Linked DNA regions of Canis lupus familiaris. The protein of the gene in region 2 binds, or shares a complex with, the protein of the main gene of each other region. Links are inferred from orthologs where the notes say so. Each region holds a gene or a part of one and is shown on either strand. Other genes may lie near its edges.

Region 1 (4,919 bases), on a different chromosome or scaffold from region 2:
AACCTCCTATGATGGAAGATAACTAGATGGCTTTAAAAAGCAATATTATTAGGGGTGCCTGGGTAGCTTGGTCAGTTAAGCATCTAAATCTTGATTTGGATTTCAGCTCAGGTCATCATCTCAGAGCTGTGAAATCAACCCCCACATCAGGCTCTGTGCTGGGCATGGAGCCTGCTTAAGATTCTCTCTTTCCTTCTGCCCCTTTCCTCCCACCAAAAGCAGTATTATTAGATAAAATCTAATGAAACATTAAATGTATATCCCCTGTGATGCAGCAAATCCACTGCAGGGAATTTATCGCATGGACACACTTGCATAAGTATAAATATAGCTGCTTAAAGACACGCAGCACTGCATTTTTTGCTATTATGAATTACCTAAATGTCCATCAACAGGAGACTGGTTTGAAATTACTGTTCATCAATAGAATGGAGTACTATTAGCTGCTAGAAGAATAAGGTTCTATGTTGATAACTACTAAATCTGGGTGAGCAGTACATACAGGTCTATTATACTGTTCTCATAACTTGTATATATACTTGCCATTTCCCACAATAGCAAGCTAAAAAAAGAGACCTACCACTTAGAAAGATAATTACACCATTTCATACGGTTGATGTGAGGACTAAATGGGAATACATGCAAAGCACTTAGAATCCTGCCTTGTGGGGATCCCTGGATGGCTCAGCGGTTGAGCACCTGCCTTCCACCCAGGGTGTGATCCTGGAGTCCCCGGATCAAGTCCCACATCAGGCTCCCTTCGTGGAGCCTGCTTCTCCCTCTGCCTGTGTCTCTGCCTCTCTCTCTCTCTGTCTCTGATGAATAAATAAAATCTTAAAAAAAATAATCCTGCCTTGTATATAACATTTTAATAAAAACATTATTATAAGGTAGCCCCAGTGGAGCAGCGGTTTAGTGCCGCCTGCAGCCCGGGGTGTGCTCCTGGGGACCCGGGATCAAGTCCCATGTTGGGCTTCCTGAGTGGAGCCTGCTTCTCCCTCTGCCTGTGTCTCTGCCTCTCTCTGTGTCTCTCATGAATAAATAAATAAAATTAAAAAAAAAAAACAATTATTATATAATGACTATAAAAACACATGAGAATAATCAAGAAACCCACAATATGCCTAGTGTATGTATGTATGTATCTGTACATGCATACATACACAAACTCTCCATATAACATTCTAAAGAAATATATTGAAAACCTCTGGAAAGTCAGATGGGAGTAGAGAGAAGAGGTACATAATTTTCGGTTTATATACTTATCTACATAGTATTTGACTTATCACAAGCACATATATCATTTTTTATAATTAAATGCATAAATACAGCTATGAGGAACAAAAATGTTAAAAAGGATTCAACGGTTATTAATTACTGGATTTGACAGCCCTCAAAAAAGAGGTTTATGATCAACCTGTGGGATAGTTTTTTTTTTTTTTTTTAAGATTTTATTTATTCATGAGAGACACAGAGAGAGAGAGAGAGAGGCAGAGGGAGAAGCAGGCTCCATGCAGGGAGCCCGACGCGGAACTTGATCCCAGGTCTCCAGGATCAGGCCCTGGGCCGAAGGCGGTGCCAAACTGCTGAGCCACTCGGGCTGCCCTGTGGGATAGTTTAAATAAGGTCCACTTTCTACTCTAGTACTTTGTCTTCCCTTCTTCCACTGTAAATCAAAAAGGGAGAGAGAATAAAGTGTTACCTAAAAGACATTATCTCTGCTCAGAACCATCCTCCCTTACAAAATTCCTTATTCACAGGAAAATCTAGATGTTTATACAGAAAAAGAATCATCCATTATGGTCCTACAACAAAGGCTAGAACTAAACTCTGTCTGAGATTGAAGTTTCCTGGTCCTAGTTATCTATTACATAACCCAGAGACAAACCACTTTGCTTCACTGGGACCATGTTCTGAAAATGTATGATCTAATAAAAAATGAAAAAGCCAATGGAAAGGTTTAAGAAGTAAAGAGAGTGAAAGACTAAACCCCTCCAAAACCCAGAACTATCTGCCCTTACTCAGATCATAAAAAAGGGATAGTTACACATCAACAGTTTTCTCAGGAGGTTCTTCCTCTTTGACAGGTAGTTCTATGGGCTTTGGTTCTTCTTCCTAAAACCAAATGAAATAATGGTTAATATAAACCAACAGTAAGTACCCAACAATAAGAGTATTAGAACTCAAAAATGAACCAGTTTTTCAGAACCTTCATTCCCCCCTCTATGCTCCCCTAACAAGTTAGCATTTAAGCCCTCTAATGATTGATGGTAAGCAATGTGGCCAAGGTATCAACATGTTGCCAGGCCAGTGACTAACCTTACTCTCTCCAACTCACCTCTGTTTCATCTCCCAGAACATCTTCTTCATTTGCCTCCTCTTCAGCTAAAGAATATTAAAATATTCAGGTCAAGCCCTGCTAAAAAAAAACCATCTTGATCACTGTACTTAGGCTAAAATTATAATCATTTTGCTTTCCCAAAATAAAATTCAATAGTTGAAGGCAGATCTGATGCTCATAAAATCTGCTCCACATGGAAAAGATAAAGCCGTATTATTCTCTACCTAACATTAATACAAAGTTGAACTCCAGCTGCACTGAAAAACCATAATAAGGTCAAACTATAACATTAATGTTACAGAGAATATCTTTAATATTTAGTGGTGAGGAGGGATTTCTAAAAAAAAAAAAACAAAAAAACAAAAAACACTGCAGGGTAGCCCCAGTGGCCCAGCAGTTTAGTGCCACCTTCAGCCCAGGGCATGATCCTGGAGAACCAGGATCAAGTCCCATGTCAGGCTCCCTGCATGGAGCCTGCTTCTCCCTCTGCCTATGTCTCTGTCTCTCGTGAATAAATAAATAAATAAATCTTAACAAAACAAAACAACAAAACCAAACACTGAAGTAAAAGTTATATATGGGGATCCCTGGATGGCGCAGCGGTTTAGCGCCTGCCTTTGGCCCAGGGCGCGATCTTGGAGACCCGGGATCGAATCCCCGTCGGGCTCCCGGTGCATGGAGCCTGCTTCTCCCTCTGCCTATGTCTCTGCCTCTCTCTCTCTCTCTCTGTGACTATCATAAATAAATAAAAATTTAAAAAAAAAAAAAACCAAAAATAAAAAAATAAAAGTTATATATGAAAAATTGCAGATTTTCCAAAACTAAGACACCATGGGAAAAGAAACAAATGACAAAGAGAGTATTTGTGTTTAAGACCAACAGGGAACAGCTACCAGAATATAAAAGAAATGTCTGCAAACTAACAAGTGAATTATGGGAACCCCAAAAGAAAAACGGCAAAGGAAAAACCCTACAAACCATGAACACAAGAAATGTTCAAACTTTTTAATAACTAGAGGAATGTAAATTGAACCAACAGTTTAATGAAAATGAAGCCACTTAACAGGATAGTGCCAAGTTTAGGTGTGTGGAGGAGATACAAGAACCCTCATGCACTGATGATGGCACTGTAGATTTACAGAGCAATTTTGGAAAATAATTTGGCAGTGCTTAATCATATCAGGAATACCTTATGAATAGATATTAACTGGTAATCCCACTCCTGGGTGTATACCCTAGAAAGACACTCACCAAGAAATATAAAAGAATATGAAAGTAGTAGTCTAGGAGGCAATATAGGTGTTTGTTACTAGGTGAATTAAGTAAAACGTAGTGGATTCCATACATGATAGAACACTATCCAGGAATTTGAATCAGTAGACTAGGTGACTACACAGCCATAGCCACACAGATATGAATGTATCTTAAAAAACAAACAAAAAAACAAAAAAACAAAAAAAAAAAACACAGTACTTAGAGAAAAAAAGTGAGAACTAAAGTAAGGCTATGGCCTCACTACCAATTACATAAAAACATTGTATTCCAAACAACACTACATGGTTTACAAGGACAAAGACAAAAAATACATATCAAGCACATTAGAATAGCTGCTTACAGGAGTTGGGGTAAAAGCAATAAAAGGGAATAAATAAAAATTAGCAGGAACTTGTACAACCTGGAATGATAATATGCCTTAAATAAAGCTGGTTTTGTTTATTTTTTAAAAAGTGGAATTATAGAATGTCAGAGTTAGAAGGAACCAGAGATTCCTTAGATTTACCAATTTCAAGTATGGAAACGTTTGTCTCATTGCATAGATCAGAACAGACACCTAGTCACTTAAACAGTGACTATTCAAAGTTATGAGTAACTTTCTGGCATAAGAGGTAGCAGAATTCAAATCTCCCAATTTTCAATCTAATGATACCTGTTTTAGCATACTTCCTTTTAAACAATTTACTGAAATAAAATTAGTGTCTTAAAAAAAAGGGGAGGAGTATATTTCTTTGCATTATAACCACTGTTTTGGATGATCAAGAGTTTTGATACAGTTAATTAAGAGCTTATATCAGGGGATCCCTGGGTGGCGCAGCGGTTTGGTGCCTGCCTTTGGCCCAGGGCGCGATCCTGGAGACCCGGGATCGAATCCCACATCGGGCTCCCGGTGCATGGAGCCTGCTTCTCCCTCTGCCTGTGTCTCTGCCTCTCTCTCTCTCTCTCTCTCTCTGTGACTATCATAAATAAATAAAAATTTAAAAAAAAAAAAAAAAAAAAAAAAAAAAAGAGCTTATATCAGGATGCCTGGGTGGCTCAGTGGTTGAGCATCTGCCTTCAGCTCAGGATGTGATCCCAGTCCCAGGATCGAGTCCCACATCGGGTTCCCTGCATGCAGCCTGCTTCTCCCTCTGCCTGTGTCTCTGCCTCTCTCTCTGTGTCTCTCATGAATAAATAAATAAAATCTTTAAAAAATTTTTAATTAAAAAAAGAGCTTATATCACCAACAGCTTAAAGGAAAAGGAGAAATCTTCCACATGACAGAGCCTAAAAATTAATCCCCTCTCTCATATCACTCTGCCTC
Region 2 (5,695 bases):
CTTATAGAGTGAAAAGCCAATTAGCTCTGAGGAATTCCTAAAGGAGTCATAATAACATGTAAAAATAGTTCTGCAGGCTCTGGGAGAAGGGAAAATCAAGGCTTCAAAGGACATCACTGCAGTCAGGTCATACCACAGTTGTGGCATACTGAGTAGTATGCATACTGCACATAGTTCAGTGTTTGGAAGGAGAAATCACTGTGATAAAGTGGCAAGGTAAACCACAATACAGCAGAATATTGCCATTGGCTCTCAACAGGGTTATTTGCACTGAAAGAGACATTTTACAATGTCTAGAAAGCCTTTTGTAACAACTGGTGTGTGTTGGGGGGTTATGAACTGCACACCATCCTCCCTGTCCTCTGTAAAGATCTATTTGGACTCAAATGTAAATAATGCCCACTGCTATAGGTTATCCATAAGCAGCAGGAGAGCGTTTCTTGTATCACAAAAGCCATTCTGTAATAAAGATTTCAGATGTTTTTAAGGGAGGATGATGGTGCAATGAGGATTTACTGTGCCTTTCTGTTCATTTTTGAAGAATCCATAATAATGAAAAATGAAAAAAATCAGCGAGCATATCTTTGAACCTCCTTGAAATGGCATAGGGTCTTTACGAACAGATTTCACTGAAACTAAACGGTGTGTATTTTCTAATTAGTGGCTTTAGGACTTCAAAATCAGACAGGACGTTAGGAGACTAGAAATAGCTGATGAAAAACAATCATGAACAATGTAGTATTTTCCCAGAACTTATTCTGAATACAGCCTATCCCTCCAACATCTTTTCAATGCAAATGAACCTGATCCATTTGGTGAAAACTGCCAAATTTAGAAGGTACTAGTTCTAAAGTTCATACTTTAATATATGTGTGATAAGGTTTCCTTCTTTGGTTTGCCTATGCTTTCTAAAATTTCTGCCAAACCCGTATTTTAAAAAACCTAAAAAAAATATTTTATTTATTTATTCATGAGAGACACAGAGAGAGAGAGAGGCAGAGACACAGGCAGAGGGAGAAGCAGGTTCCATGCAAGGAGCCCGATGTGGGACTCGATCCTGGGCCTCCAGGATCACACCCCAGGCTGCAGGCAGCGCTAAACTGCTGCGCCACTGGGGCTGCCCTAAAAAACTTTTTTATTTTGAAAAGTTGCACAAATAGAACAGAAAGTCCCTGCATGTCCTTCACTTAGACTCCTAGCATGTTAATATTTTACATTTTCTTAATCATCCTAGGGTTTTCTTCTGAGACATTTTAGAGTAAGTTGCAACATAATGTCCTATTACCTCTCAGTACTCCAGCGAGTATTTTCTTAAACAAGGACTTTCACATTAACCATAGTACAAGTATAAAAAAAACAAGAAATTTACATTGGTAGAATATCGTTAGTCTACAGATATTCAAATTTTGTCAATTGTCCCAATAATGCCCTTAGCAAAGGAAAAATGATCTTTTTCTGGCTGGGGATCCGTTGTCCTGTCTGTTGTTTCTACTCATCCGGAGGAGTTCCTCAATATGTCTAGATTGTCTTTAGTGACTTTGATGATTTTGAAGAGTGCAAGCCAGTAATTTTGTAGACTGTCCCTCTATGGGTTTGTTTGATGTTCCCTCACGATTGAATTCAGGTTCTGCGAATTTCCGTGTCATGAATGCTACAAAATTGGTTAGTGCTTTTCTTACCACCTTATCAGGAGGCAAATGATGCCCATTCCCGGGTGTGCTGAGTTTTCATCATAATTGGGACGGTGTCCGCCATATTTTCCCACCATAGTTCCTATTTCGCCTTGGAAATAGTATTTTGTCGGGAGATACTTCGAGACTCTGTAATGTAAACAAGTTGTTTCTTATGGTAATTGCGCCCCCTAGTTTTGTCTAAGGTTACGGAGACAGAGGCTGATTACAGTAGGGTGTCAGCGCTGATGGCGGCAAGTGTTTCCAGGGGTCAGTTTCTGCTTGTATCCCTTGTATTAGCATGTCTAGCACATAGTAAATGGCTGCTTATTTTCTGATGAATTTCTTTGATCTCAGCAGTTAGTAGCGTGTATTGTAAATTGATCTTATGTTAGTTTTTCCCACAGACTGTGAGCTCCTTGAGGGTAGGCACAATGACTTAGTGCTTCTCTGTCCCCAGTGTCTAGCACACACTAGGTGCTTGAAAAATACATGTTTGAATTAGTGGCCTGGAGTAGATACTACCGAAGAGGACAAGGGCTATGTGTCGGTCTGGGGAAGGCATTCTTCCTGTTCTAAAGGGAAGCCAGAGCAAGGGTTGTAGAGGGCGCGGTCGGCGTAGTCACGGCCAAGGACCCACGGGTCTCAGCCACCTGGTTGGAGGCCAGGCCTCGGGTTTCCGCGGGTGGGGAAGAAAGTGGGGCGGGAAACCGAAAACCGAACTCGCAGCTCCCGGCATTCCCCGTGGGCGGTGCTCCCCTTTGACCCCTCGCTCGCGTGCTACACATCCGGGCCTCTGCTACTAGTGAGGGGAAGATGGCGGCCGCAACTGTGGTGGTTCCCGTAGAGTGGATAAAGAACTGGGAGAAATCAGGGAGAGGCGAATTGTGAGTGTCCGGGCTGGAGGCGGGCGCACGGCCGGGCCGGGCCCGGGCGTCAGCCGTGCTCTCCCTTGTGGGGAGAGGTTGTGGGGGGAAGATGTGCCCCCTCCCCCATCCGGGCGGCGGGTGTGGAGGGTTGGCTAGGAGTTTCGAACTCGGGGAGGAGAGGTGCTGGTAACCGCCGCCGACCTCCTTCCTTCTCTGGCCTCTCCAAAATCCTCGTTGCCCGCCGTAGGCTGTCTTCCTTTAGTGTCTTAGCAGAACTCCCGTTTCGCCCCTGCGGGTCTACGCGCTCCCGCTCCGTCTTTTTGTCCCCCTCTTCGCTTGAGCTCACTTGGCTCCTTTCTCTTTACGGGGCCGCGCCGGGAGGGGGGGTTCGGACTTTACATCTTTGTGTCCCATTTCTTCACTCTGCACCCGTTCGACTCTGCAGTTTGGAGCCCGACGCCTCCTTTGCCCGAAGTCCGAGGAGGGCGAACCGTCCCGACTCCCTCCCCTCCTCTCCGCCCGCTGCCGCGATGCCCGGGGCGTCGCGAAGAGCCCCGGTTGGCACGTCTCGTCCTCCCGGGGAGCGGTCTTTCGGATTGTCCCGGCCTCGCGCGGCGCCGCTGGCCGTGGGAGAAGTGTAGCTGGGATTGCCGCTTTCCCACGAAGACCTACCGGCATTTCTTTGCTCCGGCTTTTCACTTTAGAGCCATTTCGGTTTTGATTCAACTTTCGTCATTAAATGTTTCTTAAACCCCATTTTGTCCTGGGACTGCAACTAATTTTGGCGACTCTCAGGGTTCTCAAGTACCTGGAATAACGCGTTCCCTTTAGTCATAAAACTTGTTTTTTTCCCCTGGTAATACAGAAAACAGTAATTTGCCATACCCGCGGTTTCCTCGCCCCAAATTTCAGTTCGCGCTCCCTCGGAAAGAAAGGAATCGTTTAAGCAGTAAAACCCCAGATTCAAAAACAAAGAATTTATTTCTAATTTCGTTCTCTGAATCGCTTTATTAACCAAAGCTCAACGCTGTATGAGCTAACTCTCGTTAGCCATTTTTGCGGTCGGCCGCCCCCTCCCCCCATAGTTTACGGTTGCTCGCGCGAAAGATAACGAATCTTTGGAACTTCGTTACTTCGAACGAAACCCGGGGAATGCGTTGCCCGATCTTGCGCGTGTGATATTGCCAGCTTGTATGGACTCCTCCTTCTCCCCTCCCGCGCCCTCCCTCCCCCCGGCTCCACGCGCACTCGCACTCGCGCTGCTTTACCAAGTCTTAACTGTGTGAGCTCTAGAATTGTATTTCCTGGATAAGCGGCGGTCTTAGCCACTTAACTAGCTGAGTGACCTTGGGTAAGTTCCTTAACCACTTTGACCGTTTCCCCTTGAGTAAATTGGGATTAATAAGTACTCTATTCAAAGGATTGTTGTGAAGACTAAATAATACCTGTAAAGCACTTGGCTTATAGTAAGTGCTCAAGTGATAGCTATTAAAAGTAATATTATTATTCCAATCTTTAGATATTTAAACTTCTCTGGACAGCTCTTGCTCTTAAAGTCTGTACCACTCAGGTTAGCAATTAATTGGTCTTTGACTTACTGCTGCATACTCTTGTACTCTAACGAATTGAGAGACCCTTGAAGAGTGGGGACTATGTTTCATATTTAGTTTGGTCGCCCCTCCCACGCCGTCCCCCCACTGCAGGCCCCAGCTCCCGCCTCACTCCCCCTCGCCTTTCTAGCATATGCTTGGAGTGAGAGCTTTTTGGTTTATTAAATGAGATGTCTATTTGATAAACATTCATTTTTAACTGTTAGGAACATTTTCCAGATCCTTGTACATGCCATTTAACAAATTAAGCTATTAAGTTCCTTGTGTGCAGGGAAGGCAGAACGGGAGGTTACCTAAACCATCGTTTTCATCTATATTAGATTAGGATAACCTCCCCAAACTGATAAATCAGTTCACTATTTTGTTTACTTATTTAGGGCCTGTCATCTTCATAGATTGCTCAGCTTCCTTGTTACATCTGTTTTTGACAGTTTTATTATTGCTTTTACCTTAGAATGAGTGGTATTAGGGCTAGGAGGTGAAAATCTGAATTCTGATTGGCTTCTTGGCAGTGGTTGGAGAAAAATAGTGATGTAGGAGGTTGAAATACGTTGTCAAAATGAGATTTTGGATACACTGTGTGTATATTTGCATAATCCATGCTATGTGTATTGTTCCTGAAGAGCTTTTTCAAAACTGTTAGGGCTTATTTGTATGTAGTTACTCCATGACGTGAGGAATGTTGTTTGAATTATAGTAGATCCAAATCAGTGTAGTTTTATAATTGTATTCTGTTATATGAAGAGAGCATAAGGTGGTCAGTTGTATGACATAATCGGATATTTTAAATAGACAAACACATCATCATCCAGTACTTAGGCTTCATTTATTTGACTCCTTTCCCCTCTTTGAAAACTTGGTTGCATGTAGTCTAACTTCAGAGTTCTTGTATCTAGCATTTCATTTTATTAGAATGAATGGGGTTGTAAATATATTACCCAAAATCTTTTCCTTTGTCTGAAAACAGAGCTTCTTAAATATAAACTAGCAACTAGAAATGTTAAAAAATGAAGTTAATGTGCCAACAGATAATTAGCAAATCCATTTATAGATTTGGCTTTTAGAATAGGACCAATATTGTAAAATACACAAGAAAGGTGAACATTCCAAAGAATTAGAGTACAGAGAACTCTCAATGGTTTCACTTGCAGACATATTCCCTGAATATTAATTTAAAACAAATCAAGGCACCTGGGTGGCTCAGTGGTTGAGTGTTTGCCTTTGGCTGGGGTTGTGACGCTGGGGTCCTGAGATCGAGTCCTGCATGGGGCTCCTTCAGCCTATTGCTCTGCCTCTCTCTCTGTCTCATGAATAAATAAATTAAAATCTTAAAAAAAAATAAATGCAAACATTTGAATTCTGCCACATATGAAGGATACGGATTTAATCACTTTAATTTTGGAAATAGAGTTTTAGTTTCTTGACAACTTCATTCTAGCATAGGACTTGCTATGATTATACTAATAAACTTGCATGTACTGGTAGATACAGTGGTGAAGTTTGTTTTTAGTAAAATTGTTAACACGGGGAACTCAGCATTTCTTTG
Region 3 (4,919 bases), on a different chromosome or scaffold from region 2:
TGGCAGAAAACATGCCCCCACCCCCCACTACATGCAGATGTCTGTAGTTTGTGGGTGCAAAGGATAGACTGGGGGTAGGGAAAAATAAACTAGCTTGTTAAGAAAAGAGACATACAGATCAACTAAACATCCCAGCAGGGGCATCAAGATCCAAAGGACATAATTAAGTGCCTGTTACACACTAGAGGCTCTTTGTGTACATGATGGGATTTAAGACAAACACACTAAGGAACAAGGAGACTGAAGAGTTGAGCCAGTTTCTTAAGATCCATACTCACTGTAAGAGGAAATGTCTATCTCATCTGGCAGCTCACTAATATTGACTTCAAAGCGATCCTGCACATCATTGAGGATCTTGGCATCATTTTCATCTGATACAAATGTGATGGCCAAGCCCTTGGTGCCAAACCGGCCTGCTCGGGCCACCTGGAAGGAGACAGAGGATAGTCCTGGGAGATCCCGAAGTAGGAAGACATCCAAAAAGAAGGGAGAGGCTATCAGGTATGAAGATACAAAATCAGGGGGAGGGGACACTGGAATGCACGTGTGGGTGTGGAGCTTACCCGATGCAGGTAAGTGTCAGAATCCTCAGGCATGTCATAGTTGAAGGCAATGTTCACCCGCTCAATGTCCATGCCTCGGCCAAATAGGTTGGTAGCCACAAGAATTCGTCGTTGAAAATCTTTAAACTGCTGATACCGAGAAAGCCTTCGTGAGAAAGGAAATTAGAAAAATACTGAGTCCCTTCGCTTCAACGGTCTCTTTTCCTTCCCAAGGACACAAAACATCTTTCCATTTCTGACTTACCTCTCCTCCTGGGGCATCCCTCGGTGGATGGCAATGGCTGGGAAGTTCTGCTCTACCAGCAGCTGGGCGAGGGCAATGCAACGCTGCACAGACTTCACAAAGATCACCACCTGGGTGTGTGACAGTTGGGGGACATGGGTCCATGTGGGATAAGTGAGAGATTAAGTGTGAGAAGAGTTTTCAGTAACTACTCTTTTACTCTTCCTGAAACTTCTCCAATCCCCATTACATATTCCTCTTCTGTTCTAAATACAACTTAGCCTTTCTCACTCAGTTCTGATTTTTCCTGAGCAGACATGCTGAAGAGAAGATACAGAGAAAAGTAACTAAAACTACCAGATATGTTAGGGAGACAAGGATGAAGCTAATGGTAAAAATGAAAGTGGTAAAAATTTAAAGTGTGGAAAAAAAAAATTTAAAGTGTGGAGAGTAGTTTCTGCTCATCAAAAACATCAAACATATGCAATTTACCTTAATTTTAGAAAGTTTTTGGTGCAAACGAACCACAGCAGGTAAAGTATGGAACATTTCTTCTCAGTAAACAGTACAAGAAAAAACAAATTTTAAAAACCCAAGAAACCCAAGATATTTTGGAACTTTTACAAGTTTATGAAATCCTCTCAAGGATTTTGAGATTTTTCTTTACTCAATACCTGGCTGTGACAGCCAAAGAACAGAACAGCAGCTCCCATCTTGTTCACACTCAGCACCAAAGGCACTTAAATTCTCATTTAAAAGAATTTCATTTGAAGGTAATTTCCCCACTGTTCTCGCTCACATCACCTATGTCATATCCTCAACAAAAAGGTACTTAACCAGGTTTCTGCTACAGTTGGAGACGTGCTCATCCCCCTACTGGACTTTGAACAACTGACCTGATTGAACTCAAGGACATCGAGAAGGTCAAAGAGCTTCCGGTTCTTCTCGTTGTCCTTCAGTTTCACGTAGTACTGCTGCAACCCATGCAGCGTCAGCTTCGTCTCATCATCCACGAAGATCTCCATTGGCTGGGGGAGGGAGGGGGGAGTAGGGGGGGAACGGGAGGAGGGCAGAGTGGGGGGGTTAAACCTGGGGGGGTGGAGGAACTTGATCTCCAAAACACCCCATTGGGGGATGGGAAAAGAGAAGACTGAAAACCCCACCACACCCCCAAAAATATCCTCATTTTAATGTGGTCTCTTCCACGTTAGCTCTAATTTCCTTCCTAGCAGTTGTTTTAAGATTGCCCAAGTATCACGGGAAGGTAACCTGGCAAGGAGTTTGAAAAGGAGCAGTGAGACCACCCAATGGCAAGATGCCATGACCTCAAAAGGAGGTAGCAGAGGAAAGAAAACAATGGGAGAGGATCCCCAAAGGGAAAATGTAATCCAAACACCTGGGAATTGGTGGACATGGTGACTCGAGGTCAGGAATTCCACCACTATTGGTTGTAAAAATAGAGGGGAAGACAGGGATTGCTTCATTTGAGTATTCTCCCAACTAAGAGAATCAGGGGGCACCTGGGTGGCTCAATCGGTTAGGCGTCTGCCTTCGGCTCAGGTCATAATCTCAGGGTCCTAGGATCAAGCTCCGAGTCAGGCTCCCTCCTCAGTGGGGATCTGCTTCTCCCTCTCCCTCTGCTCCTCCACCTGCTTGTGCTTGCTCTCTCTCAAATCAATACATAAAATATTAAGGAAAAAACCAAACAACTAAGAGAATCAGATCCACATCAGGAGGGTGGATTATCTGTCAAGATCAGAATGCTAAAATGAACATAGTCAAAAATACCATGAAAAGTTACTCAGGATGAGTAATAACTCGCCCTCAGACCACAAGGGAATAGTTCAGATGGCACTGGTCTCTGAACTAGGAGTCAAATCAACTAGTGTTACATGGACAGTACCAATAAATGGTGTTAAGAAACAAATTCAGAGCAGCAGATATACAACCATCTTGTAATATATATATGTATATATATATATATATACACACACATATATATGTATATATGTATATACACACACATACACACACGCACGCACACATAAAACCCTTTAAGGGGAGGAAGATAGCAAAAAAAAAACAAACTGACACAAGACTCAACTCCTGAGTCCAAGTTTCCTAGCACTCTTCACTAACCTGGGGACATAATTAACATGAACACCCAGGGCCCAAGGTTTCAGGAAAGGATGAGTGGCACGGGAGAGAACCAGAAGCCCAATCCCAGAAAGCAGGCTTGCAAAAGCAGGCTTTTCAAAATGAAGCTTCATGGCCTCCTTCAAATCTAGCCCCAAGTATAACTAAAGGTAACTGACATCCCACGGGAAGGAGCAGTACAGGATAAGAAAGAATACACTGCACTGTTTATACAATAGGGCCCGTCTAGTGCCAAACCCTAACACCCACCTGGTTACATCCAAGTGGAGCTCCTCACATTACTTTTCCCATATCCCTCTCCTTGGAGTATTAAAAAATTGTTTTAAAAAAGAAAAAAAACTACCCCCCGTTTCAGGACACCCCTCCCCCCAACACATATGGGGAAAAACAGGGAGCACGGCACGCCTTGGATTCAGGAAAAAAACCGGGAACAGAAAAAGAGGCTGGTTTGGTCCTCAGCTTCCTGGTCAGGTTTCCCCGCGGCCTCCGCTGCCGCCATCCACCGCTGGGTGCCGTCTGCATTTCCCCCGCCGTTCCATGGTGCTTCTCCGCTGCCGGCTCACATCAGCCGAGATTCCGGATGGGTGCGAGGAGGTATGGACGGAAGGAGTAAGGGATCGGGGACTGAGGTGCCAAAGGCCCCCACCCCTGGAGGTGGGGAGGGAGCGGATTCATTTGTGCTGTTTGCTCTTCTTTTGGACATGCCCTGCCATCTGTCTGTCCCTCTCTTGCTCTCCTGCCACCGGGGGGTTGAGTTTTGGGGAGCAGAAGGCTCCAACTGTCTGCTCCATGCCACCTTGAGGGTGCGTGGCTGTAAAGGGGTATGTAGGAGACGATGGGTGGGTAGTAGGGCAGAAAATCCTGCCCTCCCCCAAAAAGGAAGAAGAGGTTCAAAAATGCTGTGATGAAAAAAAAAAAAAAAAAAAGGTCGAACACTACCCGCTCTCAAGTTAACCCGACCAAGTCTTCCGGAGTTTCCCTGGCACCCGCGCAGACCCTAACACTAGCTGTCTCTGCCTCTGTGTGTCTCTTCAAGGAGTCATCACTCCCAGATGGGCACGTGCCCCCTTCTTGGCATTTGAAGGACAAGGGAGTCTGGAGGAAGAGGGCGCAGAAGGGGAGGAGGCAGTGGGCGGGGAGTGGAGGGAGAGAAGGTAGAAGGGTATTTACGTCTTGCATGAACTTGCGGCAGACAGGACGGATCTCTTTGCTCAAGGTAGCACTGAACATCATGACCTGCTTCTCATGGGGGGTCATGCGAAAAATTTCCTGGACATCCCGACGCATGTCTACAAGAAAAAGGAAAAAAATCCTAGAAGGAAAGAAGGAAATGTCATAGACAAAGACCGGAGACAGCCTCCCCAGTGAGGTGAAACTGCTGGAAACAGGTAAGCAAGAGCCATTTCCCACAAAGATTTGTCTCAGGTACTCTATTTACACGAACCACCGTAAAATCACATCCATTGCAGTAACACATGGAAAATTTCAAATAAAGACCTAGAACCAAATTTCAGCACTATGTGTTTTAGCCAGGCAAGAAGATAATGAAACTCCAAATCTCACAAGTATGATATGGAGATGAAGTCTACTGCAGAGGCTCACAAACCTAAGACCCTTGAGAGATGCTTTACAAGGCCCTTCTCCCTACTTTCTCCCCACACCCCAACTGTCTACAAATACTGCACACATAATTATATTCTAGTTGTCAAAGTCTAGTCCATGCTTCCTCTGGATCACTGTCCTATCCAGCCAGGCAAATAAGACCTCTACCCAGAGCCCATCTTATAGTTCACCATCTAAAATAACCGAAGGTCACTTGGAACTACTTATCCCTGGGGCTAAGTCCATCCCCACTCCCTCATTTATTAAATGTGAGTTCCAATTTTCCACTCATTTATTAAATGTGAGTTACAATTTTCCTTTCTTGTGGAACACTGAATTACAGAAAATCCCATAAACTCTCCACATTAATCCTA

Evidence for each region. Proteins that work in one complex are often made in the same cells at the same time.
Region 1: THOC2 (region 2) and SARNP share a complex: the UniProt entries of both Homo sapiens proteins name them as parts of the transcription/export (TREX) complex. The link is inferred for Canis lupus familiaris from reciprocal best matches to the Homo sapiens genes THOC2 and SARNP.
Region 3: the proteins of THOC2 (region 2) and DDX39B are in contact, whole or in part, in a cryo-EM structure (PDB 7APK), measured with the Homo sapiens proteins. The link is inferred for Canis lupus familiaris from reciprocal best matches to the Homo sapiens genes THOC2 and DDX39B. Residues at the interface, in NP_001075019.1 of Homo sapiens: Lys550, Tyr551, Met553, Lys554, Arg555, Leu556, Thr557, Lys558, Glu559, Tyr582, Gln586, Lys589, Tyr590, Asp591, Asn592, Leu593, Pro596; in NP_004631.1 of Homo sapiens: Leu282, Asp283, Val284, Leu285, Glu286, Phe287, Asn288, Gln310, Asn311, Phe312, Pro313, Asp335, Phe336, Gln337, Arg338, Arg339, Arg355, Ile420, Ile424, Glu425.

The regions. Positions count from the first base shown.
Region 1 is NC_049231.1:538,004-542,922, forward strand, and holds part of SARNP (SAP domain-containing ribonucleoprotein), read right to left. Parts: intron 2,386-4,919; coding exon 2,339-2,385; intron 2,116-2,338; coding exon 2,048-2,115; intron 1-2,047. UniProt on the Homo sapiens protein: Binds both single-stranded and double-stranded DNA with higher affinity for the single-stranded form. Specifically binds to scaffold/matrix attachment region DNA. Also binds single-stranded RNA. Enhances RNA unwinding activity of DDX39A.
Region 2 is NC_049260.1:95,958,477-95,964,171, reverse strand, and holds the start of THOC2 (THO complex subunit 2), read left to right. Parts: upstream 1-2,412; 5' UTR 2,413-2,486; coding exon 2,487-2,557; intron 2,558-5,695. UniProt on the Homo sapiens protein: Component of the THO subcomplex of the TREX complex which is thought to couple mRNA transcription, processing and nuclear export, and which specifically associates with spliced mRNA and not with unspliced pre-mRNA.
Region 3 is NC_049233.1:1,171,268-1,176,186, forward strand, and holds part of DDX39B (spliceosome RNA helicase DDX39B), read right to left. Parts: intron 4,233-4,919; coding exon 4,114-4,232; intron 1,815-4,113; coding exon 1,683-1,814; intron 918-1,682; coding exon 808-917; intron 709-807; coding exon 564-708; intron 427-563; coding exon 279-426; intron 1-278. UniProt on the Homo sapiens protein: Involved in nuclear export of spliced and unspliced mRNA. Component of the TREX complex which is thought to couple mRNA transcription, processing and nuclear export, and specifically associates with spliced mRNA and not with unspliced pre-mRNA.